Macaca mulatta: one gene and its partners. The protein of the gene in region 2 binds, or shares a complex with, the protein of the main gene of each other region. Links are inferred from orthologs where the notes say so. Each region holds a gene or a part of one and is shown on either strand. Other genes may lie near its edges.

Region 1 (5,554 bases), on a different chromosome or scaffold from region 2:
AAGTCAAGGGATCTGTATGTTCTTTTATCCTCAGTTACTGAGTGAGGTTTAATAATTTTATGCAAAAGCTTAGAACACACTCTGGTATCATTGAGCTCATCTCAACTTCTTTCTGTTGCTTAATTCAGGGAATGTGAATAATGGTAACAAACCAAAGTTGCTTTTTCAACCTCTGGCCTCCAAGAGCACCTCCTTTCAATAATGCTTAGAGTACTTACCGCACAGAAGTTTATGGTTTGCTCACCATCTCTCAAGCAAGACTGGGCAGAGTGGGCCGACTCAATCTTTGCATGGTTAGCACCTAGCACAGAGCTTACCACATGGCTCCAGGGGATGTATGCTTGTACAAATAAATTTGTATATTCTTTACTGTTTTCAAAGCACAATCACATGTATGAGTCCATTAGTCCCTCACAAATCTCAGTGAGATTGCAAGGTAGAATTTGTTTCCTCATATGACAGAATCTCTTTGAGGTTGAATAATATTTTCACCGTATGACAGAGGAGGAAACAGGATCAGTGAGAAATTGTGTGACTTCTGAAGAGCACATAACTAAGACTCAAATGTCAAGACCAGCATTCTTCCTTAAATACTAAATAAAAATAAGCATATTGAACTACTATTTTAGGTTTGTTTTTAGGGTCTGTTAAGTCTATATATGGCCAATCATCTTTGGCTTTCCCACATTGGTGAAATGTTGCTTTTTAAAATTCAATTGTAGACTATAAAATGAAAAAGACCTTCAGAAACCATATCTGTAATCAGAAGAAAATGGCATCAATTATATGCAAATATTTTGCTATAAAACTGTATCTGCCTTTTAGAGTTTATTGCTAGCCCAAACAATTCAGCTCTGTCACAGGGAACAAGATGGAGGCAGCTTTGTCATTTCCAATCCTGCACCCACAGTCACCCCTATTCAGCTTATAGAAGGTTTCTTTATGTCAGGAAATGAATCCCTACTATGACAAGATAGTGAAAGTAGCCTTTTTATTGGGGCGAAGAGGTCACAGTCAGTATTTGAAGGCTCTTGTAATTTAATCCTGATCAACTGGCTCTAAAGTCAAGCTTTTAATAACACCATCTCCCACTAGATTACAGGCTACAGGAAGTCAGAGACTAAATTGAACTCCTAAATCAAGGCGTGGCACAAGGCAATGTAACTCTTCTATCTCAATTCCTGGCATATTTGTTAATCAATAAGTGACATCTCTGACCCACTGGTTAGAAATCAACATGAAAAGTGCTAGGCACATATTTTTCAAACTAAGTGATAGACAACCAAAATCAGTTTGGACATTAAGAGCAAAGTTTTTGTTGAGTGGCTGGGCGGGAGTGGGACATGTTTACAAGACGTGGTATGTAAAAAATTTGGAGAAAATCTGAACACTCTACTTGTTTCTGAGCTACATTTACTGAATTGGTAATGTATTAACAGTGGCTTGAAAAAGAAAAGAAAACTTAGGGATAGAAACTTACCCCCATGCTTTTTATTTTGAAGCACTTCTAAGAGGTTTGCTATATTTTTTTTTTCCAGGCAATATACTCAGATCCTAAATGAACATCTACTGATGGAACTCTGGCCTTTAGTCAGTTATCTTTATATGCCGTTATAGGTCAACATTCCGAAAAACTTCAACAGAAATTAACTGCAAATGTAATTGCATCCCAAACATTTCTGACACTGAAGCATTTTCTCTCTAAAGGAGATGGGATTATTGGATTGGCAATTTCTCTTAATCTGAGAAAACTCATCTCCCACTCCCTCCCCCATATCCCCTTTCTATCCTCTCTCTTCCCCTGACACACACGCACACGCATGCACACACGTATATTCTGACCATTTTATTAGAGTGGAAAGTTGAAAGAAAGCAGTCCGCCAGCTACACCCACCCAGTGCTCCTGGGGGTGGAATAGCAAAGTTCCAGGGCAGAGCCTTCCCTCCCAGAGCCCGGCGATGCAGTCGCTCTCGGATACCTGCTCAGCTCCGCACCGCAACTGAAAGATCTGCCGCCGCGGAACAGTTGCCTCTCCATCTGGCTACCAACCCACCCAAGCTTTCTTCTCCACCACCACCACCTTCTTTCTTCCCCCTCCTCCCCCTCCTTTCCGTCTTCCCTCTCCACCCCCGCCCCCAATCTCCTCCTTTTTTTCTCACTACGAGCGGTTGCTGATGCTGAAGCCGAGCGTCACTTCGGCTCCCACGGCAGACATGGCGACATTGACAGTGGTCCAGCCGCTCACCCTGGACAGAGGTAAGGGAGCGGCTCGCTAGCCAGGCCACCGCGTCCCCTCTCCCCTCCGCCCTCCCCCGCCTGCCAATTCCCACCGGGACACGGGACGCGCTCGGGCCGGGGGAGAAGGGGAGCGAGGACGAGCCAGGAAGACGTTCGCGCCTAGAGCAGGACACTTTCTTCCCTTCTCTCTCCCCGCTACATCCCCGCTGCCCCTTCCCACTGTACTCGCCCCGCCGAGGGGACTCCTCCTTCTGGCTCTAGGGTCCCCGCTGCCACTCCCAGTCCCTCGCCGGGTCGTCTCCGGGCCTCTGGCTTTGTTGGAGCGGCTGCTTGGGGACGGCTAGGCGCCAGGGGCTCGGGGTTGGAGAGGGGCAGAGAGCAAGCTCGCCCGGCCGGAGCCCAGAGGAGACCGGCGAGGGAGCCGCCTGTCAGCCTGCTCGGCGCGGGGGCGCGGGAGGAAGGAAGTTTGTCCAGGCGCCGGAGGGCGAGGGTCGGTCCAACTGCTGGAGTCAGGGCGGCCGCTCGGGGGGCGGGCTGGGCGCACCCCGGGGCGGCCGGGCGCACAGTGGCGGGGCTGCAGCAGGCAGGTAGCTGCCCTCCGCCGAAAGGGCAAGGCAGAGCGCGGGGAGCCGAGCCCCAGCAGCCGAGTTCGGCTCTCCCCGGCTTCGCGTTCGAAAGCGGCGAGGGTCGCGTCTGCTCCCGCCGCCGGCAGCTCCCAGTCGGTAGCAACTCTCGGCTTCTCCCGCGCCAGCCTCTCTCGTCCTCTCCCAGCTCTGTGCCACCGCGGCGCCCGGGCTGCGGAAGGCGCGGGGACAAAGCGCAGGTCGGGTTAAAATTCAACTTCTGACCTGCGACCCAGTCAGTCCTGCTCTCTGACCCGAATGGGGAAAGTGTTCTCTTCCTCCCCAGGACGCCCCCACCAAGCTCAGGGATGGAGACCTCTGCTGCGATCCGGGCCTCGCTGGTGCACCCGCGCGGGGTTATACCTGTCCCTGAGTGTATGGGTTTCCTTCCTGGCTTCCAACGTCCAGTGATGAAGGCGCTCGAGTCCCACGGCTCTGCAGAGGAGGACACCCGCTAGTCCCTCTCCGCAGCCGCCGGATTTAGGACCCTGGGCGGCCATTTGGAAATTGTGTGCTCAGAAGAAAAATGATTTAGTCCGATGTACCTCTAAAAATTTTCTTTCTAGAGGATTAAACTGAACGGTGGGGCAAGGCAAAAGAGCATCCTGCTGGGAGTACAGTGACAAAGCCAGTGAACTCAGTTTGAGGTTTTTAATTTGAAGAGACTGTGGGTGACTTTACGCAATCTGTTGGCGCCAGAGCAGATGTTATGTGGTGCCCATAGCAACCTTTCTTAGGATAAGAGTTGAAAAATAAAATGTAATTGATTTTATATTAGAAAATGTTGATTTGCAAGCTGGCAAAATTAATAACAGTAGTTAAAGACCTCAGAAATCCATTGTATAATCCATGATCTTACCCACAATATCATCATCTGCACTAAGCAGGATAAATCCATTGCCGGTAAGAACCAAACAGATGGCAAGCTATCAGAAACTATGGGCTTCCCAAGTATTTATGTTTTAATGTGATGTGCTCTTATATTGTCCCATTACAAAATCACAGTCATTAAACATCCCAAACCAAGTGACTACATTAGGAGCAAAAACTCCAAGAAGATTGCATACTTGAGTCATTTTATATACTACCACTACTACTACTAATAAAAATATTTCAATGTTTGGTTTTTACCCTAGCCCTTAGATGCCTCAGTCAGTTGTTGAGAGGAGGTGCTAATCGGACTAAGATTTATTCTTAAAGTTTGTTCTTGTTCACAACCAAACTCTACTTGTCCTTCTGAGTGTGATTACGCCCATGGAGTAGCTCAGGAGGCAAACAGGGTTACCCTGTGGATAGGTCTGAAAAAATTCACCAGCAGCTCATGAAAATCTATAACCAAGAGATGATGGGTTATTGGCATCACCACTGAGCATAAAGTCAATATAAATAAATAATTGTTCTCTGTACCTTATTAAAATATGATTAATTGATTACTTTCATTATTAAACTGATGAAAGAAAAGGTTCTAAAAATTTCCCTGCAAAAAAAGGTGCATTTTAAAAGAGGCAGCCCAGTATTACATATCTGGGTCCCAGTTGTAACTCTGATACTCACTCTGCATATATGAGCCTCTTTGGACATCAGATTCTCTCTGTGCCACATCAGGAGTTTGAATTAGATGATTCTAACACTGTGCAGCTTTAGCAGTCTATAATTCAATTAATTAGAGTTAGGACTCAGTTTTTGGTCACCTACTGGGAGATTTTCCAGATCACCTCTCTCCCAGGCTGCTTTGGTACCCTTTGATATGCTTTAAATTGACTTGCTGCTTTGGCCCCATTAAAGCATTTATCACACTCTGTTGCATTTGTCTCCCTATTGGATGGAACTCCTTGAGGGAAGAGACCATTTCTAAATTCATCTTTGAATTCTCAGTGTCTGCCATAGTCCCTGACTCACAGTACAATAAAAAATTAATGTTTAGTTGGGGTAAGTAAACTCAGGATAGCAGTAACTTAAGCAATGTTAAAATATAGTGATTTGCTAGTGAACTGAGGTGCATTTCATAGATTCACAGTATTTTGGACATGGAAAGGATGATAGTGATAACATAGGCCAGAGATTCTCAACCTAGCCTTCCCCTTATACACTTGATGGATTCCCATCAGTAACAGTAGCTCACCAAAACTGTGACATTTAACCAAGAGAAATTGTGGCAGGTGGGCAAAGGAGAAGAAGGGAAGAAGGTGATGGACAAAGCCTCCCAAGGGCATCCCAGCAAATCTGAATATATAATCTATAATTTTAGAGCTGCTAGTTCTTTTTTGGTATCTTCATTTTACAAATGAAAAAGCATGAAAAAGTGAAGATAAGAGATGTTTTCAAGGTTGCTCTGTTTAGTGGAAATTTTATGTTAAAATTGAATTACTTTTTGTTTGCTACCCTTTGACATCATACATGGATATAGTCTTCAGGGCGAACGTTTTAAGCAAACAAATCAAAGCTAGGGATCAAAATTAAGATTTACTGCTTTCCAAATTTGAAAGATATATCTGAAAGTAAGAAACTCAGAAGTCTCCACCTAGCTTCTTGGGTCTGCTCTGGGAAGTAAGCTTTTTCAAGGTCCAGGCTGGGCCCCAAAAGGATGAACAAGGTGATTTCAGACTTCCATGGCTCTGTGCCTATCCAAAACTCTTTTTGATCTGCCATTAAGACCTGAGATCAACCCTGTAAAGTCCTCTGGGTGGCTATGG
Region 2 (5,873 bases):
AATGGGGAAAGATGTGTAAGAAACATTCCCTGCCCTCAAGAAGCTCCTTATTAGTGAACTAGAGAGATCCATAAATAAGTAACTGTAATTAAATATAAGTGCTCTCGAGGTGTAAGCAAATACAGCATGCCTCACACAGTTGCATGTCATCCTTAAGCAAGGGTCATGCTGCATCATTCCAATTTTAGTGTATGTCCTATCAGAGCAGGAAAGTCAGAAGCTACAGGTTACTAAATAATACGGCAAAGGTACCAACACAAGGTAAAAATGGTGTGTATTTTGTTATTCTCTTTCATAGACACTGCTGTACCAAGAAAGTAGGCATTTTTCTATGTTTTAATTTGGATGAATTGTCTTAAATTTCCTTCATGTAGTATTACCGGTTGTACACTTACTTATACTTGTAAAAGATACAGTAAATGATCATGACATAAAAATTAGTCATTAACCTTATTTGCATAACGCCTTTCCTTTCCAGTAATTGCTACATTTGCTAAGACAAGAAGTTTTGGGACTACGATAAGGTCGTATTATTGGAGATTTGTTTCAGTCATTTGAAAGATAGTTACGTAGAAAATGTTATAGAACCAACAAGCATTCAAAGGAGTTTCTGCAAGATTTTCAAAAATGAGAAACACAGGGAAAAGAGTTTTAATTTTTAAAAAGGGAAACGACATCCTTCCAATATTTGTAACAAATTGGGCACATGTTCCCTCAAAGACAGCTTTAACAAGGGTAAAGGCTGCAGCCACTGGAAAGAAAACATATTCCAAATAATGATCTTATATTTCAAAACCTCATTAACTCTAGAAGTTGTCTTTCTCAACCAACGGGAAAAAAAAGCACACTGAAGGGTCTAAATTAGACGAGAACTTTCATTTATGCCATCAATTAAGGCCAAGTACACAGAGGTAAGTGAGTAGGTGGTTGCGTAGGTAGAGGAGTGAGTGGGAGGTCAATTAGTCTTGAAAAGTGAAATCTATTTTAAAGTACCTTAGTAAAAATTTAAACCTATTAAGATCTAGTGGTGAAAAACAACTTGTGATACTAATTTGGTGAAAAAGAAAACAAAATTCCATAGAACTTGAATAGAAATCAATAAAAAGGTTTTCAGCACATGCGAACATCTTCAAGGGCTTTCTGTTCAAATTCAGAGGTGAACAAATTCTAAGTTAAAAATGTATGCTGTCAAGGTCCCTGCAAGAAAATCTCAAGCTAATTTCAATTTCCAGATCAATATATACTAAGGCAATTTACTGGAGAAACCTTCAACCTTTACTCAGGTTGAGGAACACTATTATTACATTATTTAACAATAAGGCTAGCTTGAATTCATTATTTCACGTAATGGCATTTTATAATTGGCACATATTTGAATTGGTTTCAAATATGAATGAGATTTCACAGTTCATAGTAGTTAAGGTAGCCACAGAGTACCTATCACCTCAAAATTAGCTTGCTGCCCCTCTTTATGCAGCTCTGAAACAGCCAGAAAAGATGAATTTTCTTCTCCCAGGGGTGTTTCCTGAAAATATTCTATCAATTACAAATCAGCGGAATACTGACTGTGTTAATGTGATTCTGACCATTTCTTTTTGATATCCAAAGAGATCACATCATCGCCCTTCCAGACCTTAAGGAATCAGAACTGGTTACCAAAACTGATTCAGTGATGGCTATTTTCCATCTTCACAATATAATTAACATTTTAATCTCACATTTTCCAATTATGACTTTGTTAGTTCGTTTACATCAGCTATAACTAAGATGCAACAAACGTAATTCACCCACACATACGGTCATTTGGAGGCTCTTGGGAAACACCTAATTTATCTTCACTGGGTGCTGCTAAGAATGAGGAAACCAAGGAGATTTTTGATACATTTTTCTCTCTAGAACTGTGCTATTCACATGTGGCTACTAGGCACCTGAAACGTGGCTGGTCCAACTGGGAAACTGAATTTTGAATTTTATTTAATTTTAATTAATTAAAATTTAAATTTAGAAAAACGTACTTGATTCAGTTATTGGAAAACTTTTATGTATATTGGGTATGTATATTGGGTAACTTGGGTATGTGAATCTACTTTTGTAAATGCACATTTTATGAAACCTAAATACAGATTAAGTATTTCTGATTTTTATCAGAAATGTAGCTTAGTGTCAGAATTGAGATGTGCTGTTAGTGTAAAATACACATTGGGATTTCAAAGACTTAGCATAAAAGATGTAAAATACTTCATTAATATTTTTTCATACTGATTACATGTTTAAGTGTTAAGTTTGGATCTACAGGGTTAAATAAAATATTTTAGTAAAATTAATTGCACCTGTATGTTTTTATTAAATGTGGCTACTAGAAAATTTTAAATTACAAATGTGGCTCATAATATATCTTTTGGACAGTGCTGTTCTAGAACACTTCACAACCACTTTAACAGGACACATTTGGATACTTTCCTTTTAACAGTCTGGCTGGTCATGTAACAATAGGGCAAGGAGTAACATGTCCTCATATCAATTGGGTCTGAGTAAAGTGTGTAGCAAGCTCTACCCACAATTTCACCATGTGAGGCAACACTGTAATACCTCAATATGGAAAGAAAAGGAAACAAATTAGCACTCAAATTGAAATCGTGTACTGCAGACAACTTAAAAGAGATAGGGCCAACTGCTCTAAGGTCTTGGTTTCATTTCCCAACTGTGGACCTTAAAATAGACAATAAAGCACCGCTTCCAAAAAAAAAAAAAAAAAAAAGAGGTAAGATATTTCAATGGTAGCTCTAGCGATCCTTATTAAGCAAAAATTTGCTCTTAAATCTTATCTCCTCAACTTCTAAAGCCACAGAATACACGCTGTGTTAGGAAATCAACTTCAGATTGCCAGCATTTCCTTCACAAGCAAATTAGCAGGATTGTGCACTTGGAATACTGTTTGACAAGAATGAAAAGGAAACTATTCAAAATAGATTTAAGGAATGGACAATTAGATGAGGAACTGCAGATTTAATTCTCAATCAGCACTGTGATTAATCTGATTCCCTGCTTTTCCCCAGCGTAATTATACAACACAGATGAAAGGATGAGCATTTGGACTGTCAGTTCTATATTCTAGACCAGCCCGGTGACTCAAAGCAGACGGCTCTACCACGCTAACCACCATCCCAACAACAGTCGAGGGGAGCCTCGAGCACTGATTGAACAGTCATTGCATAACGAAGCATTAAAAATTCGAATGCCCCCAACTCTTTCCACGTTCATGTACACCAGGAGGGAATGTGCTGAAACTGAACGCACCCGGTCTTAAATGATCCCCTCCAATCCGGGCATGGGGTGTACACAAAGGCATCTGTCTAATATCCCGCACAATAGACACACACCCCACAATTAAAACCCTGGACTCACTCTCTCTCTCACCACACAAGCAAAGGAAATGCAAGCTGCTCTTTTCAAAAATGGTCTATGGCACATGCAAGGTAACAAAAACCCCAACTGAAGCAACTATAAAATCGGCTGTGCCACGTCCCTGTGCAACCGTCAGATAAAATGCAGGCAGCCGGCCCCACGCCTTACGGGGTGGCCAGCCTCGGCTCGGTGGCCTCAATGGACCGCTGAGAACCCCCAGGCCCCCGCCTGGCAGGAGCTCCAGGTACACGTCTATAAATACTCCAAGATGAGAAGGACGAGAGGGGAAGAGGGGAAGAGGGGAAGGAGAGAGGGCAGGGGGCAGGCCCGGAGCGGGTGCGGGAAGACCGGGGCATCACTGAAATGCATTTTTCCACACTCCCGCTCCCTCGCGTGGAGACTCACTTTCCGATCACCTCGCACAGCTCGTACACATCCTCGAACAGCACGTCGTCGTCGGCCATGGTCCGGAGGGGATAGCGGCCGCAGCGTGGAGGGCTTCGAAAACGGGGGTGGGGGCGCCCAAGAGCTCAGTGCCCAGCCCCGGGATCGCCTCCTCCCCTCAGGACCCGCGAGCCCTCGGTGCCGAGGACGCTCGAGTGGTGCCGCGAGGCCCAGAGACTGCGGCGCCTTCCTCTGCAGGCGACCGCCCCGGCGCGGGCGGCGGGGCCGGGGCGTGGGAGCGAGGGCGGCCCGGGCCCGGCGCCGCCCGCCCGCCCGCTGCTCCTCGCGCTGCTCGGGCCGCGCTGCCCGGCGTGCGGATCCTCGGGGACCGCGCGGCGTCGCGCTCTCCGCTCGTCAGCCCGCGCGGGCCGCGAGGCCGCGACCGCTCCCTCTGTCCGAGGCCGGCTCCGTCGCGTCGCGGAGCAGCTCGGGCTATAGAGGGGGCCGCGGCAGGACCATGGAGGGAGGATCGCCGCGGAGGGAGGTGGCGGCGGCGGATCGGCGCTGGGGACCAGGAGGCGGTGGCAGAGACGCTCCCTCCTACTTCTCCTCCTCCCGCAGCCGCCACCGCCCGCCCGGGAGTGGGAGGGGGCTTCGCGGGACTGGCGCTCTGTGCGGGCGGGAGCCGCGGCCGCCGCCTTCTGCTCCGCCCCTCCGCCTCAGCAGCCGACCGGCTAGCCAGCCCCGCGCACCCGCCTCGCGCAGACACGCCCTCCTCCCCCGTCGGCGGCGCGGCTTCCAGAACCACAGACTCCGCCCACTCTAGCCCGTCGGGAGGCGGTGGCCCAGGGAAAGGGGAGCGGGCTGAGCGGCGCATGCGCGCGGCGCGGGCCGCGTCACGGCAAACGGGCGGGCACCGGGATTCTAGAGGGCGCGGGGGGTTGAGCGGGGCGCGCCGGCTGCAGCTGCCGAGGCGGGGCTGGTTGGGGTCGTCGCCTCCGCGCCTAGCGGCGACCAAGCCGCGAAAGGGGCTGGAGACAAAAGGTCCACGGCTGTACGCTCGTTGTCCCGCAAGAGGCTCGAAACTCTGGCCGCTCCCCTTTCCTTCTTTTGTAATCGCAGGGAGCCTTTCCCAGCTTTTTGCTGGGAAAAGAGGCAGGGATAGGGTGCTAATGAATGAGAAAGCTAAAAGAGAGGTGGAGAGAGGTTGTCACTGAATCCGTGCTTGGCAGCGGATGCTTTTAGTGCTACCCTGTCATTCCTTAATGAAGATGAGGGCTGGGGGCAAGGGGAGGTCGTCCGAGAAAAGGACTAAACAAAAACTGCCTAGGAAGGTGTGCGACAGCAAACGGTCATCTATAGAGACAGCTTCTCCCACGTTCTGCCCCAAACTCAACAAATACCTATCCAGCGCCTACCCTCACTAGAGACCAACCTAGAGAGAAGCCAGGAAGACAGGGACAAACCGCGACTTTAAGCTCCTTTGTATATTGCCCTCAAACTCCCAGCACCTACACTGCTCTGTATACTCCCTATACATGTTAGACTTGTCAGGAACAAAATGCAACTAGAGGCAGTGCAGGCACAGGAGCAGCCAGGGAGTGAGGTTCTGGGTGTTGCCGCTGTGCTAGGTTGCATTCAATATGAAGATTTCTGTTCAACTGAGCATGTGCGGAATGAGCCAACGCCATCAGACAGGTATATGCCTCAGTTGAAGACCAATAGAGTCTTTGTTCCTCCGCATAGCAAAAGTGCCCAATTAGTTCATAAGTCAGTTTCCAGAAATCGTCTGGTAAATTTCTCAGTGTGGTAATTTTTTTAAAAAAGTATTTATTAATACCAAAGTGGAGGGGGTGATGTGGAGACTCACAGCCTATTTTCTCTTCAGAAACGTTTCGTGCAAACCCTTGACCACTCCCTCAAAAGGCTGAGAGATTTGCCTGCTAAGGATTTGGGTACTAAACCTTTAAAAAAAAAAAAAAAAAAAAAGCAGACCAGAGGACAAGTGTAATTGCACACGGTTTTCCTCCTTTCTCAAAGAGCTTGTGCATTCTCTAGAGATGGGGGCTTTAGAACTTGAGAAA
Region 3 (5,568 bases), on a different chromosome or scaffold from region 2:
TTTTTGTACAGTTTCTGTACCCCAGGTACTATAGTGCCCAGTATTCCATTACTGCTTTGCTTCCTTTTGACTTAAGTAGAAGATGTTTCTGATTTCATGTTATACTCAAGGACTAGAAATTTTTCTTTATATAGTATGGCCTTCTTCGTGTTTGCAGATAGAAAACTATGAATAAATGCAGTAAAGAAAGATATTTATTTATTTATTTATTTATTTGAGAGGGAGTCTCACTCTGTCACCCAGGCTGGAGTGCAGTCGCGCAATCTCCACTCACTGCAACCTCTGCCTCCCAGGTTCAAGAGAGTCTCTTGCCTCAGCCTCCTGAGTAGCTGGGATTACAGGGGTCCACCACCACGCTTGGCTAATTTTTGTATTTTTAGTAGAGACGGGGTTTCACCCTGTTGGTCAGGCTGGTCTCGAACTCCAGACCTCGTGATCCACCCACCTTGGCCTCCCGAAGTGCTGGGATTACAGGCGTGAGCCATCAAGCCCGGCTGAAAGATAATTTATTTATTTATTTATTTGAGACGGAGTCTCCCTCTATTGCTGAGGCTGGAGTGCAGTGGTATGATCTTGGCTCACTGCTACCTCCGCCTCCAGGGTTCAAGTGATTCTTGTGCCTCAGTCTCCCGAGTAGCTGGGACTACAGGTACCCGCCACCACGCCCACTTAATTTTTGTATTTTCAGTAGAGACAGGGTTTCACCATGTTGGCCAGGCTAGTCTCGAACTCCTGACCTCAATTGATCTGCTCGCCTCGGCCTCCCAAACTGCTGGGATTATAGGCATGAGCCACTGCGCCTGGCCAGAAAACAAATTTTTAAATTTGTGGTAAAGAAAGCTTAAACTTAAAAAGTTAATCAAATGCAATGGAAGCAAATAGACCTTCACCATTCTGATTTCCCATCACCAGAATGACTGATAAATGGGGACTGTTGGTTCATCAATTATTTTGATTTATAAAGTTATAATATGTAAGTCATATAAAAATTTCCAATGAAGAAAAAAAAAACGGAAAAAAATAAAATGCTTTTGACTAAATCTAAAATGTAGCTAACATGTGCTCAAATTTGTGTTTCATTAGATCATAGTTTGATGATTTAGAAGGCACTCTAAATCATATGTGATCAGGTGCTGTATTGTAGTTGTACTGTAGGATTTTCTGCTGTAAGATTGTTGGGAGTGTTTGTTAATAGAGTCTGTTAGAATTGTAAACAAGAATCAGAGGTGATGTAATCTGACTTTCTTACCCTGCTAAATGGCAACGACTAGTACAGCTGTCTCAGTAACTGTGGGGAATTCGTTAGGACCTTCTGCAGATACCACAGATATCAAGATCTGCAGATGTTCAAGTCTCCGATATAAAATGATGTAGTATTTGCATATAACCTTATGCATATCCCCCCTCCATACTTTAAATAATCTCTAGATTACTTACAATATCTGATGCTATGTAAATAGTTGTTATATCACATTGTTTAGGGAATAAGGACAAGAAAAAAATGTACATGTTCTATACAGACACGATTTTTTTCTCTGAGTATTTTCAATCTGCAGTTGGCTGAAACGTGGAACCCATGCATATAGAGGGCTAACTGTAATTCATCCTAAGGGGCTGAGCCTTCTACTGAAGAATGGAAAAGAAGTCTGTTAACAGCAAAAAACAAAGCCATGACTATCAAAACTAAATGCCACAGAAGTTCCACATTTTGTGTTGCATTTAAAAATACAAAGACTGGTCGGGTGCAGTGGCTCACGCCTATAATCCTAGCACTTTGGGAGGCCGAGGCGGGCGAACTGCCTGAGCTCAGGAGTTCGAGACCAGCCTGGGCAACACGGTGAAACCCCGTCTCTACTAAAATACAAAAAATAGCCGGGCGTGGTGGTGTGCGCCTGTAGTCCCAGCTACTCGGGAGACTGAGGCAGGATAATTGCTTGATCACGGAGGCGGAGGTTGCAGTAAGCCGAGATCGCACCACTGCACTCCAGTCTGGGCGACAAAGCAAGACTACGTCTCCAAACAGCAACAACAAAAACACAGAAGACCATCAATATGTTAGAATCTTAACAACTAGCTTTCAAAGAAGAAACCTACTCCTGTTAACACCAAACAGATTTGTTCCCATCCATAAAACACAGTGCTACTGTGCTCAAGAGGAAGATGTCACAGACTTAGGCCTAACTCAGCAAGTCTTCCCAGAGTAGCTAGTCCTCTAAAATGATGCTTTAATTGGCTTAAGGGTAAGAATCTCATTTACAGTGAGACTTCCAAATGGTGAACACAGTAAAGAGCAAATCAGCAACATTAAGTGCACATTTCTTTGTGGGAAGGCATTAGGAAAGAAGTTTTTCTAAGTACAGTAATTCTAAAAATGTGTTTTCTTAGGGAACAATAGTAGTATTTAGACTGTAACTGCAAATGTTAATATGTGCAATATAATTTCAGTCTCCATCCTATAATTTTTTTTTTTTCTTTAACCACAAGTACTCAAAATGTTTATTTGTACTTCTCAGCTCCTATCAATGATTTCTAATGCTGGTGCATGAAAAGCATGCTTGAAATTGTTTGAAATAAAGGATTAGGGACAGAGTGGAATGCTGGAAATCTGTAAAAGGACTGGAAACGCTGGAATGCTGGAAATCTGGTAGGCGCATAGCCAGTTATTTTCACAGGCTTCTCTAAAAAAAAATCACTCAGAAGAGGAGGTTTTATTTTCCTTGACAGTCTGCTCTAGGAAGCAATCAGCCAACCAGTTTGCAATTGTAGGGTTTGCAAGAAATGAAAAACACTGCACCTGCAAGCGTTTTAGCATCTACCACTATTCTGCTTACTTACGTAACCTCCTTCCCAAGACCAAGTGAGTAGGATTGTTTTAAAGCAACCTCTCCATTTCTAGGAGGGGCACAAAAGCTAGCAAATACCCCAACCCAAATACAAGCGATGTTGTGGAAAAAGTAATGAAGGAGTATGTGTGTAAACAAGGGGGAAGGGAGGTTCTATTGAATTGTACCGTGTGTGTTCTCATGTTGTACAGGCATTGAGTGTAGTCTGTGCGAACCGGGTGTGTGACGTTTGCTTTTCGGGTATATGGGTCTCTGAATGCTGCTTCTGCTGTGCCCACCAAGGGAGCGCGTGTGCGGCGTGTGTCTGCGAAGCGGGCAGGTTGTGTTTAGTTGTGCTGTGCTTCGGGACAGTCCGTGTGAACAGAGGAGAGCTTAGAGTAACAGTTGAAATACCGTAAGCGCCCTCACTAAAGCCAGGCACAGAACAACGGTGGCCTCTGGCGCCGGCACAAGGGATAGCCTGGCTCCGGATCTCAGGGCCTGGGTCACTCCTCCTCCCCTCCAGCGACACAGCACTCTCCCAACCCTTCCACCAACCTCGGCCGAGCCTCGGCTGCACTCACCCCTCTCCAGTCGCACGGGTTCCCCTAACGCCGCCATCTTCTCCCTAGCCCACAGACCCACAGGAAATGACGACAGAAGGGCTGAGGTGGAGGGGCGGGGTCTAGAGGAAGCCGGAAAAGTGAGTACCGGCTAGTATCGCGAGATCAGGAGGGTGGCCGAGGGTGTCGCCGGGGCCATCAGGGTAAGGGTACCTGGACTTGCGGCTTTTGAGGTTGGCCTGGCTCCGCTCCTTCCGCGGTGGCGAGGTTCCCCGGCCTCCTAGGGTTGGAAAGAGCTGCTTTCATGACTCTCGTTCCCTGCCTCGGGCTTCCCTTATCCGAATCGCTTCGAACCCTTGGCTCCACGTAGAGGAGTCAAGCCTGGATTCTAGTCCCACCTTGCCCATTAGCAGCTCTGTGATCTGGGACTGTTCTCTTACCCTCTCTCAGTCTCAGTTTCCGCCTCTGTACAACGAGAGGTCCTATCTCTTAGGTCCTTTCAATTTTTAAACTCTGGGATGTGGTGGCAATTAAATATGTAATGACATGTCAGTTCTCAGTTTGTGACAGCATTGCTTTAAATTTAAAAATCCACGGCTTGAATCTTCCCTCCAAATCTGTTTAAGGGTGGAAAGTACAAACAGCATGATAACATATCTGGGTGAGGGAGAGAACAAGGTGCTTTGGTGCACCACAAAGTAACAATTTTATAAGCAGCTGATTCTTATGAAATCTTAACTAAATTAAATATTGTGAAGCAAATAGTATTCTTAATGCATTACAGATTCTTTGAGCCACTCCTGAAATTTTCGCGAACCAAGAAGAATTTTAGTATTTGGATTTGACTAACATTTATCCAAGCCCTTAGTCTGTACTGATACTGTGGTAGGTGTGTTTACATCCAATATTTCAACACTTCATGATGCGACTGTTTTAATAACCTGGTTGCCGCTGGTCCACCCTTTCCATTCACCTTTAGTATTTTCTTCTCCAAATCCATCACGGATATCTGCCATCACTATGCTTCTTTTTTCTCCCCTTGAATTCTGATTTCATCATCACAAGATCTGTTCAGAAACTTTCAATAGTTCTCTCCTGTTTCTTATTTCTAAAGCCTTGCATACTCTGACCCCAACTCATCCAGCTAAGTTCATTTCTTATTACCGCTAAGTGCAACCACCACTTCAGTCCGGGTGGGATAGTTTCAACCATATTTATTCCTGGTTTCAAGTCTTTTTGTTTGTTTAGAGACAGAGTTTCTTTCTGTTGTCCAGACTGGAGTGCAGTGGTGCGATCACAGCTCAAGAGAGCCTCCTGTCTCAGCCTTGCCAGTAGTGAGGACTTCAGGCAAGCACCACCATGCCTGGCAAATTTTTAAATTTTTAGTAGAGATGGGGGGTCTTGCTATGTTGCCCAGGCTCAAACTCCTGAGCTCAAGCAGTCTTCCTGCTTTGGCCTCCCAAAGTGCTGGGATTACAGGTGTGGGCCACTGTGCCGGGCCCCAAATCTTCATTTATGTTGTTCTTGTGTGGAATGCCCTTCTTCATCCCCTCCTGTTCTCCAAACTTTGTAGACACTCAGTTGAACCCATTTCATGGGTCCCTGCTGAAGACATGCCACTTCTACCAAGCCTTTTCTCCATATTGTTCCACTTTTTTGTCCTCTGATGGCCTAAATACCCTGCAGTAACACTCAGGTGCTTATCTCTTACTCATTGTTGTCTTTTTTTTCTGCTGCAAATGTGCTCAAGAAATGTTTATTAAGCACCTAATATATACCAGGTGCCTTGATAGGAATACCAGGTAGAGCAAGACAAATGCAAACATTGCTCTTATTTCTTCAAATATTTTTTCTTTGCATTCTCTTGCTCCTCTCCACTGGTGACTATTGGAGTCGTGTGCATGTACATAGTATACATGTATATTGAGCTAACTGGCATTGTCTCACAGCTCAATGATGCTCTTCTTTTTTTCAAGGTTTTCTTTATGTTTCCTTTTGGATAATTGCTAGGTTTTCATGTTCATTAATCTTTTTTCAATATCTAATATTGAAATCCTGTCCAGTTCATTCTTCATATAAAACATTGTAGTTGTTGCTTCTACCAGTTTGATTTGGGTGTGGGTGTGTGTTTTACATCTTTTATATTTTAACATGCTCAATCTTTTCTGTAGCTTCTTAAACAC
Region 4 (5,094 bases), on a different chromosome or scaffold from region 2:
CTAATTTTTGTGTTTTTAGTAGAGACAGGGTTTTGCCATGTTGGCCAGCCTGGTCTCAAACTCCTGGCCTCAAGTATCCACCCACCTCAGCCTCCCAAAGTGTTAGGATGGCAGGCGTGAGCCGCTGCGCCCGGCCTCATGATTTTGATTTCTATTCCTCTGATGACTAAAGAGGTTGAGCACTTTTACTGATACCTGTTGGCCATCTGTATGTCTTCTTTGGATAAATATCTATTCCAGTCCTTTGCCCGTTTTTAAAATGGATTGTTTGGTATTTTGCTAATGAGTTTCTTATATATTTTGGATATTAACCCCTTATCAACTGCATGGTTTAGAAATATTTTCTCCTCTTCCATAGGTTGCCTTTTCATTTTGTTGATTGTTCCTTTGCTGTGTAGATTTTTTATTTGATGTCCCACTTGATGATTTTTTTATTTTGCTGCTTGTACTTTCCAAAAATCATCCAAGACCAGTGTCAAGGAGCTTTTTTCCCTGTTTTCTTCTAGGAGTTTTATGGTTTCTGGTTTTACATTTAAGTATTTAATCTATTTCAAGTTAATTTTGTGTAAGATAAGGGTTTAATTTCATTCTCTTGCATGTGGATATCCAGATTTTCCAACACCATGTATTTAAAACACTAGCCTTTCCCCATTGTGTGTTCTTGGCCCCTTGTCAAAGATTAGTTGCCCTTTGATCCGTTTTGAAATACTATTTGTTTAAAAAAAAAAAAAGAGTAGGTAGCAATTCCCCAATATTCTTTTCTTACTCAGTTTGTCCTTTAACTGACTCCTCAAGTCTTTGGACATTTTTGTTGTTGTTACTTGTTTGTTTGAAATAATATCAGCCTAAATTTGACATTCACAGTGAGTATCAGTAAGGGTCATGGTTTTTGTAAGCCTTGTGCTTTCTTATTTTTTTCAAACTAATTTCAGACTTAAATAGAAGTTAGAAGAATAGTACAGGGAGTCTCATGTACCCTTCACCCAAATTCCTCAAGTGTTAACATTTTACCACATTTATAATTTTTTCTGAAGCACTTGAGGGTAAGTTTCAGGTAGATGCCCCTTTACTTCCAAATATTTCAGTGTGTATTTTCCAAAAAACAGGGATATGCCCTTATATAATCATAGTTTTATTACCAAAATCAGGAAATTTAATAATTATGTCTCATCTAACTATAGATCTTATTATTATTTCACTATTCTTCTAATCTCTTTAGAGCAAAATGGGAACAAAATGGTTTTTCTGTTCCAGTGCAAGATGCAGTTCAGGCTCACGTGTTCCAGTGAATTACACATCTTTAACGTTCTTTAATCTGAAATAGTTCCCAAGTCTTGTCACTCATGACCTTGACTGACATTTTTTAAGAGTAAAAACTAGGGGGGTTTTTTGTTGTTTTTTCTGTTTCGTTTGTTTTGTTTTGTTTTTTGAGCCAGGGTCTCACTCTGTCGCCCAGGCTGGAGTGCAGTGGTGCAATCTCAGTTCACCGGAGCCTCCACCTCCCAGGCTCAAGTGATCCTCCTACCTCCGCCTCCCAAGGAGCTGGGACTACAGGCTGCAGCCAACATGCCCGGCTAATTTTTGTATTTTTTGTAGAGACAGGATTCCGCCATGTTGCCCAGGCTGGTCTGTAACTCCTCTGATCCGCCCACCTTCACCTTGGCCTCCCGCAGTGGTGGGATTACAGGCGTGAGCCACCGCACCTGGCCCAGGCTGGTCTGTGACTCCTCTGATCCGCCCACCTTCACCTTGGCCTCCCGTGGTGGTGGGATTACAGGCGTGAGCCACTGCACCTGGCCCAGGCTGGTCTGTAACTCCTCTGATCCGCCCACCTTCACCTTGGCCTCCCACAGTGGTGGATTACAGGCGTGAGCCACTGCACGTGGCCCAGGCTGGTCTGTAACTCCTCTGATCCGCCCACCTTCACCTTGGCCTCCCACAGTGGTGGATTACAGGCGTGAGCCACTGCACCTGGCCCAGGCTGGTCTGTAACTCCTCTGATCCGCCCACCTTCACCTTGGCCTCCCACAGTGGTGGATTACAGGCGTGAGCCACTGCACCTGGCCCAGGCTGGTCTGTAACTCCTCTGATCCGCCCACCTTCACCTTGGCCTCCCACAGTGGTGGATTACAGGCGTGAGCCACTGCACCTGGCCCAGGCTGGTCTGTAACTCCTCTGATCCGCCCACCTTCACCTTGGCCTCCCGCAGTGGTGGATTACAGGCGTGAGCCACCGCACCTGGCCAGAGACCCACTCTTTTATAAAATGTCCTCCCTCAATTTGGATTTATCTGACGTTTTCTCATAATTAGATTTAGGTTGTGCATTTGGGGCAGGAATAGCAGTGAAGTAATGATGTATCCTCTGTGTGTCATACAAGGAGGTTTACGGTCTGCTTGTGCCGTTGCTTGTTATGCTAATTTTAATCACATGGTTAAGGTGTCTGCAGCCTTATGCTCTCCCAGTTTCTTCCCAAGGAGTATCCTGGTTTACTAACCATGCCATTCATGAATTTACAAAGTAAGCAAAATATATATTTCCCAAGTCAATTCCTGACTCTTTTCTCCTAAAATAAATCCTTGCGTGCTGTTGTCAACCTAAACTATGAAATGCTCTGGGATTCTGTCCTGTGCTGTTGGAGTGCATCAAGATGCCAAACCCACAAACCAAGTATTTTGTCAATTGAACTGAGTCTTCAGGGACACTGAGGCATGTCTGTATTTAGTTCAAAAGGTAGAAGTCTCACAAAACTGATACTAGCGAATATTATGTTACTTAAAATTCTTGTTTACTCAGGCATTCCTAGCTACGTATAAGCCCTTCTTACCTATATATAACTTCTTTCTTCTATGCACATAATCTCGGGTACCAAATAGACAGTATTATTTAAAACCTCCCTTCGACATTTTATGCTCAGTTTTTCAGACCATGGAAATCTACACCTATGATGCTCTTCCAAGATCACTGGGGATTTTTTTGTAGTTTAATAAGTGACTTATTTAATTTGCAATTCTGAATTATTTCATTTATATGTAAACTTCTTTTGTGAGAAACAGGGTTTCACTTTGTCACCCAGGCAAATGGTACGATCCAATGGTACGATCATAGCTCACTGCAGATGTGAACTCTGGGCTCGAGAAATCGTCCTGCTCCCTCAGCCTCCCGCGTAGCCAGGACCACAGGCACACACCACCATGCCCGGCTCATTTTTTTTTTTTTTTTTTTTTTTTGGACACAGTGTCTCACTATGTTCCCCAGGCTGATCTCAAACTCCTAGCCTCAAGCAACCCTCCACTTCAGCCTCCCAAAGTGCTGGGATTGCAGGCATGAGCCACCATGCCCAGCCATAAACATTTTCTTTCCTCTTAAAAAGTGACTCATGCTTAGTGCTGTCTAGCGATACTTTGTTTTTGTTTGTTTGCTTGCTTGCTTTGTTAACTGACCCTCATCCCTCACAGACCTCAGGGGCTTCAGCTATTTCCAAAGAATTACTTATTAGTAATTGTTACTCTTTTTTTCACACATTATTTCAGGCAGCAAATAAACATTGATTGTTAAGTCTCTAAACACTAACAAGCTGGCTGAGGTAATTCACCTACTCTACAGTAACTGACGTGCCAGCTTAACTGAAACAAGTAGCATCAATCTGTAGCCAGCTCTTTTCTGCCACGATCCTACCCCAAAAAAATAAAACAAAACATTATCCTGCATCATCCTGTCTGTGGGATTGTAGCCAGTTTCCTTTGTCCTACATGGTGATGGAGAAATCAGGACAGTTAAGAAAATAATTTGTTTTAAAATAATAAAGCTAATATATGCTCAGATGGTAAAAGAACAAAAGATCACCAAATCTTACTTTTTGATCCATTTTTAAGATAAAAATTGTATACTGTACAGGTAGGAAAATTAATGAAGTGAGCCGTTTTTTCTAAGTGAACAGTGCGTAAATGGTGATTCTTCCTGGATGAGTAACTTTCTCAAAGATATTCGTTTCTGCTATTTCACCAATAATTGTAATGACAAAATAGACAATTAATGGAGATTTCTGATTTTGTTTCTATCGTTACAGCTATTGTACAGGGAGATACGCTGGAAGACATTTACAACCAAGTGAAACAGATCATAGAAGAACAGTCTGGTTCTTACATCTGGGTTCCAGCAAAAGAAAAGTTATGAAAACTCATGTTTCTCTATTTCTCTTTTCCACAATTCCATTTTCTTTGACATCTCTTTGCCCTTTCCTCTGGAGTCTTTTTTCAATAATGATTTCATGTTGAATTATATCCCACATCATGGTCTGCAGGTGCGCTTATTTTTTTACATGTAGTGTCTCCTTCAAGTTACATCATGTGTATTATTTAATGTCACTATTGGTTAGTGGCCATTTTTCACAACTGAAGATGGAATGGCCTGACCAGCTATTAAGAATTTGGGGAGACGCAGAAATTGTGGTAAAATTCCTTAATGTTTAAGGGAAAGTAACTTTAAGAGATTTTTGGAAAAGCTTTATATACATTCTTTTCAAATTTCAGTACAAATGAAAAAGTGGTTTTAATCAGTGATTTAGTAGACTTTGAGCAACTATGCACGCTTAAGTTTAATAGCATGGTTTGGCCAGTGTGTTACTCTCAAGTCCTGTTCTCAGTCAGCTTCTATCATCAAAGCAATTGTTTCATTATAGATAAATAAGGAAGACATGTTTTAATTTAAAAATTCATGTCTGAGTTAACTTTCATAAGGGATTTCATTTTTCCTAAGCATTCTTAAAGTCTTTTATTATTTGAAGGTTCTTTTTTCCCAGTACATTTGCTAGGAATAACAACGTTTTAATGTTTTTAATCTACTTGAGCAACACTATCGTGTCTTACAAAAGTTGTTCATATGTAAATGATCATCACATTCTGTGAATCGAGGCCATGTTCAGGTGCTAAGGAAGTTCGCCTTTTACACAGAAGGTTGAGAAAATTTCCTAGATATAAATACAGATAAATCAGACATTACAGTGGTGATGTAGAAACCATAATGGCAATGGAAAGGAGTCCAGTTCATAGCCTAAAACTTAAAAATGTATTCTTAGGAGTCAGATTTTACTGAA
Region 5 (5,799 bases), on a different chromosome or scaffold from region 2:
CCTCCAGCACTCGCGGCGTGTAACGGACGACCAGCTTCACCGAGCCCTGGGCCGCCTTCAGCAGCTCCACCGCCTTCTCATGCTGCTCACCCTCAACGCTCTGCAGGGCCCAACACAGACAGCTGGGCCTGAGGCCCACTGCCCTCACCCAGCCCCCACTGGGAGATGGGACCCACTGCTGGTGAGCCTGGTGCCAGCCCTGAGATGCCAACACCTCATGTCCTCCTCGTGGGAGAGTCATTAACTCCTGGTTCAGTGTCCTCCTCCAAAACCTCCCAGGTTTCCCATGTCAGGGACAGCCCCATGTTCCCTCAGTCCCTGGTCAAACATCTAGACCCATCTTTGTGGCTTCCCTGCCCACAGCCCACTAATGCCTGCCTGCTTTGACTCTCTCTTCTTTGTCCCCACAGCCCTGGGCCAGCTTAGGCCTTGTCCCCTTTCCTTGGACTCTTAGCCCAGCCTTCTGGCTTCTAGTCTCTCCCCTCAGTTCATCTCCATAGGGTCCCAGAGGGGTCCTTCTGTACCTGCAAGCTGAGCTTATCCCTGGCTCACCCCTCCCATAGCTCCCCAGCACCCATGGGACAAAGTCCCAGCTTCTCAGGCTGGCACTCAGGTCCTGTATGGCTGACCCCAGCCACCTCTCCAGTTATGCCTTCCTCAACTCTAACCACAGTGATTTTTTTTTTTTTTTTTTTTTTTTTTTGAGAGGGAGTCTTACTCTTGTCACCCTTGCTGGAATGCAGTGGCACTATCTCGGCTCACTGCAACCTCTGCCTCCCAGGTTCAAGTGATTCCCCTGCCTCAGCCTCCCAAGTAGCAGGAATTACAGATGACTGCCACCACGCCCGGCTGATTTTTTGTACTTTCAGTAGAGACGGGGTTTCACGATGTTGGCCAGGCTGGTCTTGAACTGCTGACCTCAAGTGATCCACCTGCCTCGGCCTCCCAAATTGCTGGGATTACAGGTGTGAGGCACCACAGCCTGCCTAACCACAGTGATTTTAATTACCTGCATGCCCCAGACCTCCCTCAGAACTAAGCCCTTTCTTTTCAGCTCAGAGGTATGCCAAGTCCTTATCCTTATCTACAGTACCCTCAGCAGGAACACCCTTTACCTTGTTTGCCTGGAGAACTCCTACTCATCCTTCAACACCCAACCCAAATGTTCCTTACTCTGCAAAACTTTCCTGTATGTATGTTGGCCAGGTGCCACATCTGGGCTGTCACAGTACTTTGCAGTTCCTCATTATTATGTCTCTGGCTTAGGACTATTTCAGCCGAGGCCTACTGCCCTCCCCAGAGAGGGAAGGTTGAGTGTAGGAGCTGAGACCAACATCTCTCAGGGTCTGTAACACTGGCCAGCACAGGGCTAGCCATAGAGGCAGAGCTCAGTCAGTGTGTGTTGAGTGAATGTCAAAAGCAGGGGCTATGCTACCTTAGACAGACTGTGTCCCGCAGTCCTGCCTCAGCCCTCCACTCACCACACCGTTCACCGACAACAGTTGGTCCCCACGCTTGAGGCCTCCATGGCGGTCAGCCACACCCCCCGGGATGACCCGGGAGATGTAGATGGGCGAGTTCTGCTCTTTGCCACCCATGATGTTGAAGCCCAGGCCCTCATCCGTCTTGGGTAGCTCCACTACCCTGGGATGTGCGTGGCCCTCGCTGGCTGTGAAGGCAGCCACTGTGGCCTGGGAGAGAGAAAGCGACTGAAGATGAGGGCCCCTGCCAGGTGGGCAAGAAGGCTGGGGTGGGGGATCTGAACCGAGGACAGCGATTTAGCCTGGGTTACTATCCCCAAACATGGGACACGTGCCATGGCACAATGCAAGATCCCCCTTTAATGACTGTGCGTCCCTTTCTGTTCACTTGCAAGAGAAAGTGTCCATTTGGTGTGTGTCTTGAATACCCCATACTTGCCAATCTTTTTTTTTTTTTTTTTTTTTGAGATGAAGTCTCGCTCTGTTGCCCAGGCTGGAGTGCAGTGGCATGATCTTGGCTCACTGCAACCTCGGCCTCCTGAGTTCAAGCGATTCTCCTGTCTCAGCCTCCCGAGTAGCTGGGATTACAGGCACCCGCCACCACGATCGGCTTTTTTTTTTTTTTGTATTTCTATAGAGATGGGGTTTCACCATGTTGGCCAGGCTGGTCTCGAACTCCTGACCTCAAGTGAGCCACCTGACTCGGCCTCCCAAAGTGTTGGGATTATAGGCGTGAGTCACCGTGCCTGGCCGCAATCTTACTTTTAAACAGATGAAAGCCAGGCTTGGAGGGAGATCCGAGCCTCTGGGCAGCAGCAAGAGGTAGCATCTCACTATTGTGCAGTGAGAGATCAGAGCGCCATGACTTCCCTGGTTTCACTGTACAGATGTTGAAGGTTATCTTCTAGCCAGTCATGCCACACTGGTTTCCATTTGCAGTTGCTAAAGACGCCTTCGTATGACATTTAAGTTAAAAATGTGCGATTATTTAATAATGGTAAGAGTGGCACATAGATTTAGCAAAAATCATGAGGGAGGAAACAGAAATGACTGGCATGAAGGAGATACTGAGCTCGACCAGGCAGTTAAATAGACACCAGGAGCAATGAGGTGCGGGGCCCACCTTGGCTGTGGCATGGGCTCGGATTTCGGCGCTGCCAGTGATGTCCAGCGTGTCATAAAGCTGCTCATACACCTGGGTGAGGAGGCAGCGGCATCAGGGAGCTGCCAGTTCCTCCAGCCCTAGACGCAGGAGTCCGGGCCCCTAGACCCTCTCCCGCTGCCACGCAAGGATCCGCCCCGCCCCCGCAACCGGAGCCGGAGGAAACTACAACTCCCGAAGAACCACTGAGCTGAAGCGTGGGCACCCCAAGGCTGGCCGCCTCGGGAGCTGCCGGGAGGCGTAGTCCCCGGGCTCGGGACTAGCAGGAGGAGGAGGAAGAGGACGGCGGCCACCAGCTCGCGCCCTTGCGCCGCGCGCCGCTCACCTCTCGAATAGCGGAGCAGAAGCGGCTCTGCAGGACTCGCTGGAGGGCCTGCAGCTTCTGCGGGGGCAGCTCCCCGCTGCGCTGGAGCCGCTCGAGGAGCTCAACCGCCCGGGACACGTCTGCGGGGCGGGGGCGGGGCGCAGAGACCCCGAGACGCAGAGAAGCAAGGAGAGCGGCGGAGTGAGGCCGAGCGCACAGTCCAGGGAGGACCGCCGAAGCCCAGTCGGACACCCCGCAGAGTCCAGGGTGGCGCAGGAGAGACCGCCACCAGCCGGGCGCCCTGCAGCCCCAGGACCCCTCCACAGGCCGGGGTGTAAGGCGGGCGCCCCCCGCCCCGGCCTGGGCTCAGGGAGCCTCCCACACCCCGCGACCGCCCGGCCCCGGCGCCCGCCCCGCCCACCCCGCCGGGTCCGCTGGCCCACCCGCACTGGCCTGGCCTGGGAAGGGCGGGGACCGGGGGCTGGGTATGCAGGCCGCGGCCCGGGTGGGCAGGGCCCCCTGGCGCGCGCTTACCCCGCTCCAGCCCCAGCGGCTCCACCAGCGCAGCCATGTCGGCGCCACAGCTGCCAGCGGCCCGCCTGCCCCGGCGCGGGCGAGGAGGGCGGGGCTGCGCGAGGCCACGCCCCGGGCCACGGGCGCCCCCTGCGGAGGCGCAGCCTGGAGAGCGCCCAGCTCCCCCGCGCCGGACTGTCCCGACCCCCCTGCCGCGCGCCACCCGCGGCCCTGCCCTCCGTCCCGGCCCGTCGGTCCTGTTGGCGACTCCTCCCGTTGTAGGTTCGGTCTGTGTTTCTCTTTCAGGATCAGTGTCTGCCTGCCCTCCACACCTGTCTATCCCCTGTCCATTCTTTTCCCACATTCATTCAACAAACTCCTGTGAAACATCTGGGCCCAAGGCATGGACACTGTGGTGAGCAGGGCAGCCAAGCCCACGGCCCAAACGGAGCTTCCAGTCTATGGGAGAGGTAGACCACCAGCCACGGCTGTAATGAGAGCTGAGAGTGGGGAGGTAAGGATCTAGAAGACGAAGGAGATCCTAGAGCAGGGACATTGACATACAGTCCTGGGAGGTAAGATGAACAAGAGGTGGAGCTTGGGTCACCCCCACCACGCAGAAAGAGTCCACAGGGCTGGAAGCAGAGTTAGGATTGGTTGATGATGAGGTGAAAAGGCCGGCAGGATACAGTTTATGCCTGGGCTCCTGCGTTGGCATATGCGCCTTGAGGATTTGGGGCTTCATGCAAACTCCTAAGAGTAAAATATGACACTCAAATTTGTATTATTATTATTATTATTATTATTATTGAGACGGAGCCTCGCTCTGTCGCCTAGGTTGGGTCTCAGATTTGTATTTTAAGATCACTGGGGCCGGACGCGCTGGCTCACGCCTGTAATCCTAGCACTTTGGGAGGCTGAGGGGGGCGGATAGCCTGAGCTCAGAAGTTCGAGACCGGCCGGGCGCGGTGGCTCAAGCCTGTAATCCCAGCACTTTGGGAGGCCGAGACGGGCGGATCACGAGGTCAGGAGATCGAGACCATCCTGGCTAACACGGTGAAACCCCGTCTCTACTAAAAAAATACAAAAAACTAGCCGGGCGAGGTGGCGGGCGCCTGTAGTCCCAGCTACTCGGGAGGCTGAGGCAGGAGAATGGCGTAAACCCGGGAGGCGGAGCTTGCAGTGAGCCGACATCCGGCCACTGCACTCCAGCCTGGGCGGCAGAGCGAGACTCCGTCTCAAAAAAAAAAAAAAAAAAAAAAAAAAAAAAGAAGTTCGAGACCAGCTTGGACAACATGGTGAAACCCCGTCTCTACGAAAATACAAAAAAAAAAAAATAGCCGGCATGGTGGTGTGCGCCGGTACTCCCAGCCACACGAGAGTCTGAGGCAGGAGAATTGCTTGAGCCCAGGAGGCGGAGGTTGCAGTGAGCCGAGATGGCAACTGCACTCCAGCCTGACAGAACGAGACTCCATCGCTTAAAAAAAAAAAAAAAAAAAAAAAAAAAAAAAAAAAAAAGGCCAGGCGCGGTGGCTCAAGCCTGTAATCCCAGCACTTTGGGAGGCCGAGACGGGCGGATCACAAGGTCAGGAGATCGAGACCATCCTGGCTAACACGGTGAAACCCCGTCTCTACTAAAAATACAAAAAACTAGCCGGGCGAGGTGGCGGGCGCCTGTAGTCCCAGCTACTCGGGAGGCTGAGGCAGGAGAATGGCGTAAACCCGGGAGGCGGAGCTTGCAGTGAGCTGAGATCCGGCCACTGCACTCCAGCCTGGGCGACAGAGCAAGACTCTGTCTCAAAAAAAAAAAAAAAAAAAAAAAAAAAAACTCTGGGCAGAGCGGGCGCTGTGTCTCAGGCCTGTAATCCCAGCACATAATCCCAACACTTTGGGAGGTTGAGGTGGGAGGATCACTTGAGCCCAGGAGTTTAAGACCAGCGTGGACAACATGATGAAACCCCATCTCTACAAAAAAATACAAAAATTAGCTGGGCCTGGTGACGTGTGCCTGTAGTCCTAGCTGCTCTGGAGACTGAGGTGAGAGGATCGCTTGGGCCCAGGAGGTCGAGGCAGGAGTGAGCTATGATCACACCACTGCACTATACCTGGGTGAAAGAGTGAGTCCCTGTCTCAAAAAAAAAAAAAAAAAAAAAAATCACTGGGCTGAGCGCAGTGGCTCACACCTGTAATCCTAGCACTTTGGGAGGCTGCATGCAGCGAGAGGACTGTTTGAGCCCAGGAATTCAAGACCAGCATGGGCAATATAGTGAGACTGCATATCTACTGGAAAAAAAAAAATCACTGTAGCCACTATGGAGACTGGTTTGGACAAGAACAAG

The links.
Region 1: CASK (region 2) and LIN7A share a complex: the UniProt entries of both Homo sapiens proteins name them as parts of the brain-specific heterotrimeric complex. The link is inferred for Macaca mulatta from reciprocal best matches to the Homo sapiens genes CASK and LIN7A.
Region 3: CASK (region 2) and LIN7C share a complex: the UniProt entries of both Homo sapiens proteins name them as parts of the brain-specific heterotrimeric complex. The link is inferred for Macaca mulatta from reciprocal best matches to the Homo sapiens genes CASK and LIN7C.
Region 4: the proteins of CASK (region 2) and DLG1 are in contact, whole or in part, in an NMR structure (PDB 1RSO), measured with the Rattus norvegicus proteins. The link is inferred for Macaca mulatta from reciprocal best matches to the Homo sapiens genes CASK and DLG1. Residues at the interface, in XP_038955489.1 of Rattus norvegicus: Gly339, Ala342, Ala343, Arg345, Ala346, Val347, Gln349, Val350, Ser353, Leu354, Glu356, Ile357, Leu360, Thr361, Asp367, Leu368, Phe370, Leu371, Ser373, Val374, Phe375, Asp377, His379, Leu380, Thr382, Leu383, Leu384, Asp385, Leu386, Tyr387; in NP_036920.2 of Rattus norvegicus: Arg4, Asp7, Thr8, Arg10, Ala11, Leu12, Leu14, Leu15, Tyr18, Lys21, Leu22, Glu26, Asp27, Leu30, Ser33, Ile34, Arg36, Val37, Ser39, Ile40, Phe41, Ser43, Leu45, Phe46, Leu49, Ile50, Gln53, Glu57, Val58, Leu60.
Region 5: the proteins of CASK (region 2) and LIN7B are in contact, whole or in part, in an NMR structure (PDB 1Y74), measured with the Mus musculus proteins. The link is inferred for Macaca mulatta from reciprocal best matches to the Homo sapiens genes CASK and LIN7B. Residues at the interface, in NP_001271432.1 of Mus musculus: Ala405, Arg408, Ala409, Glu411, Val412, Glu415, Ile416, Tyr419, Glu421, Asn422, Asp424, Ala425, Glu427, Leu428, Ile431, Leu432, Gln434, Phe437, Ala439, Leu440, Leu441, Thr443, His444, Val447, Ala448; in NP_035828.1 of Mus musculus: Leu10, Asp13, Val14, Arg16, Ala17, Leu20, Leu21, Arg23, Leu24, Ser27, Glu29, Leu30, Pro31, Pro32, Lys34, Leu35, Ala37, Leu38, Val41, Leu42, Ser44, Phe46, Cys47, Ile50, Arg51, Tyr54.

Annotation. Positions count from the first base shown.
Region 1 is NC_133416.1:88,057,207-88,062,760, reverse strand, and holds the start of LIN7A (protein lin-7 homolog A), read left to right. Parts: upstream 1-1,962; 5' UTR 1,963-2,174; coding exon 2,175-2,256; intron 2,257-2,463; exon of another isoform or gene 2,464-2,578; coding exon of another isoform or gene 2,579-3,033; intron 3,034-3,177; coding exon of another isoform or gene 3,178-3,361; exon of another isoform or gene 3,362-5,554. Other genes in the region: uncharacterized protein LOC114670904, read right to left, coding at 2,579-3,033, 3,178-3,361. UniProt on the Homo sapiens protein: Plays a role in establishing and maintaining the asymmetric distribution of channels and receptors at the plasma membrane of polarized cells.
Region 2 is NC_133426.1:41,838,098-41,843,970, forward strand, and holds the start of CASK (peripheral plasma membrane protein CASK), read right to left. Parts: upstream 3,912-5,873; 5' UTR 3,870-3,911; coding exon 3,811-3,869; intron 212-3,810; exon of another isoform or gene 116-211; intron 1-115. UniProt on the Homo sapiens protein: Multidomain scaffolding Mg(2+)-independent protein kinase that catalyzes the phosphotransfer from ATP to proteins such as NRXN1, and plays a role in synaptic transmembrane protein anchoring and ion channel trafficking.
Region 3 is NC_133419.1:37,776,036-37,781,603, reverse strand, and holds the start of LIN7C (protein lin-7 homolog C), read right to left. Parts: upstream 3,457-5,568; 5' UTR 3,444-3,456; coding exon 3,407-3,443; intron 1-3,406. UniProt on the Homo sapiens protein: Plays a role in establishing and maintaining the asymmetric distribution of channels and receptors at the plasma membrane of polarized cells.
Region 4 is NC_133407.1:2,598,394-2,603,487, reverse strand, and holds the end of DLG1 (disks large homolog 1), read left to right. Parts: intron 1-4,068; coding exon 4,069-4,175; 3' UTR 4,176-4,926; downstream 4,927-5,094. UniProt on the Homo sapiens protein: Essential multidomain scaffolding protein required for normal development. Recruits channels, receptors and signaling molecules to discrete plasma membrane domains in polarized cells.
Region 5 is NC_133424.1:61,565,312-61,571,110, reverse strand, and holds the start of LIN7B (protein lin-7 homolog B), read right to left. Parts: upstream 3,557-5,799; 5' UTR 3,519-3,556; coding exon 3,482-3,518; intron 3,088-3,481; coding exon 2,969-3,087; intron 2,677-2,968; coding exon 2,605-2,676; intron 1,692-2,604; coding exon 1,482-1,691; intron 101-1,481; coding exon 1-100. UniProt on the Homo sapiens protein: Plays a role in establishing and maintaining the asymmetric distribution of channels and receptors at the plasma membrane of polarized cells.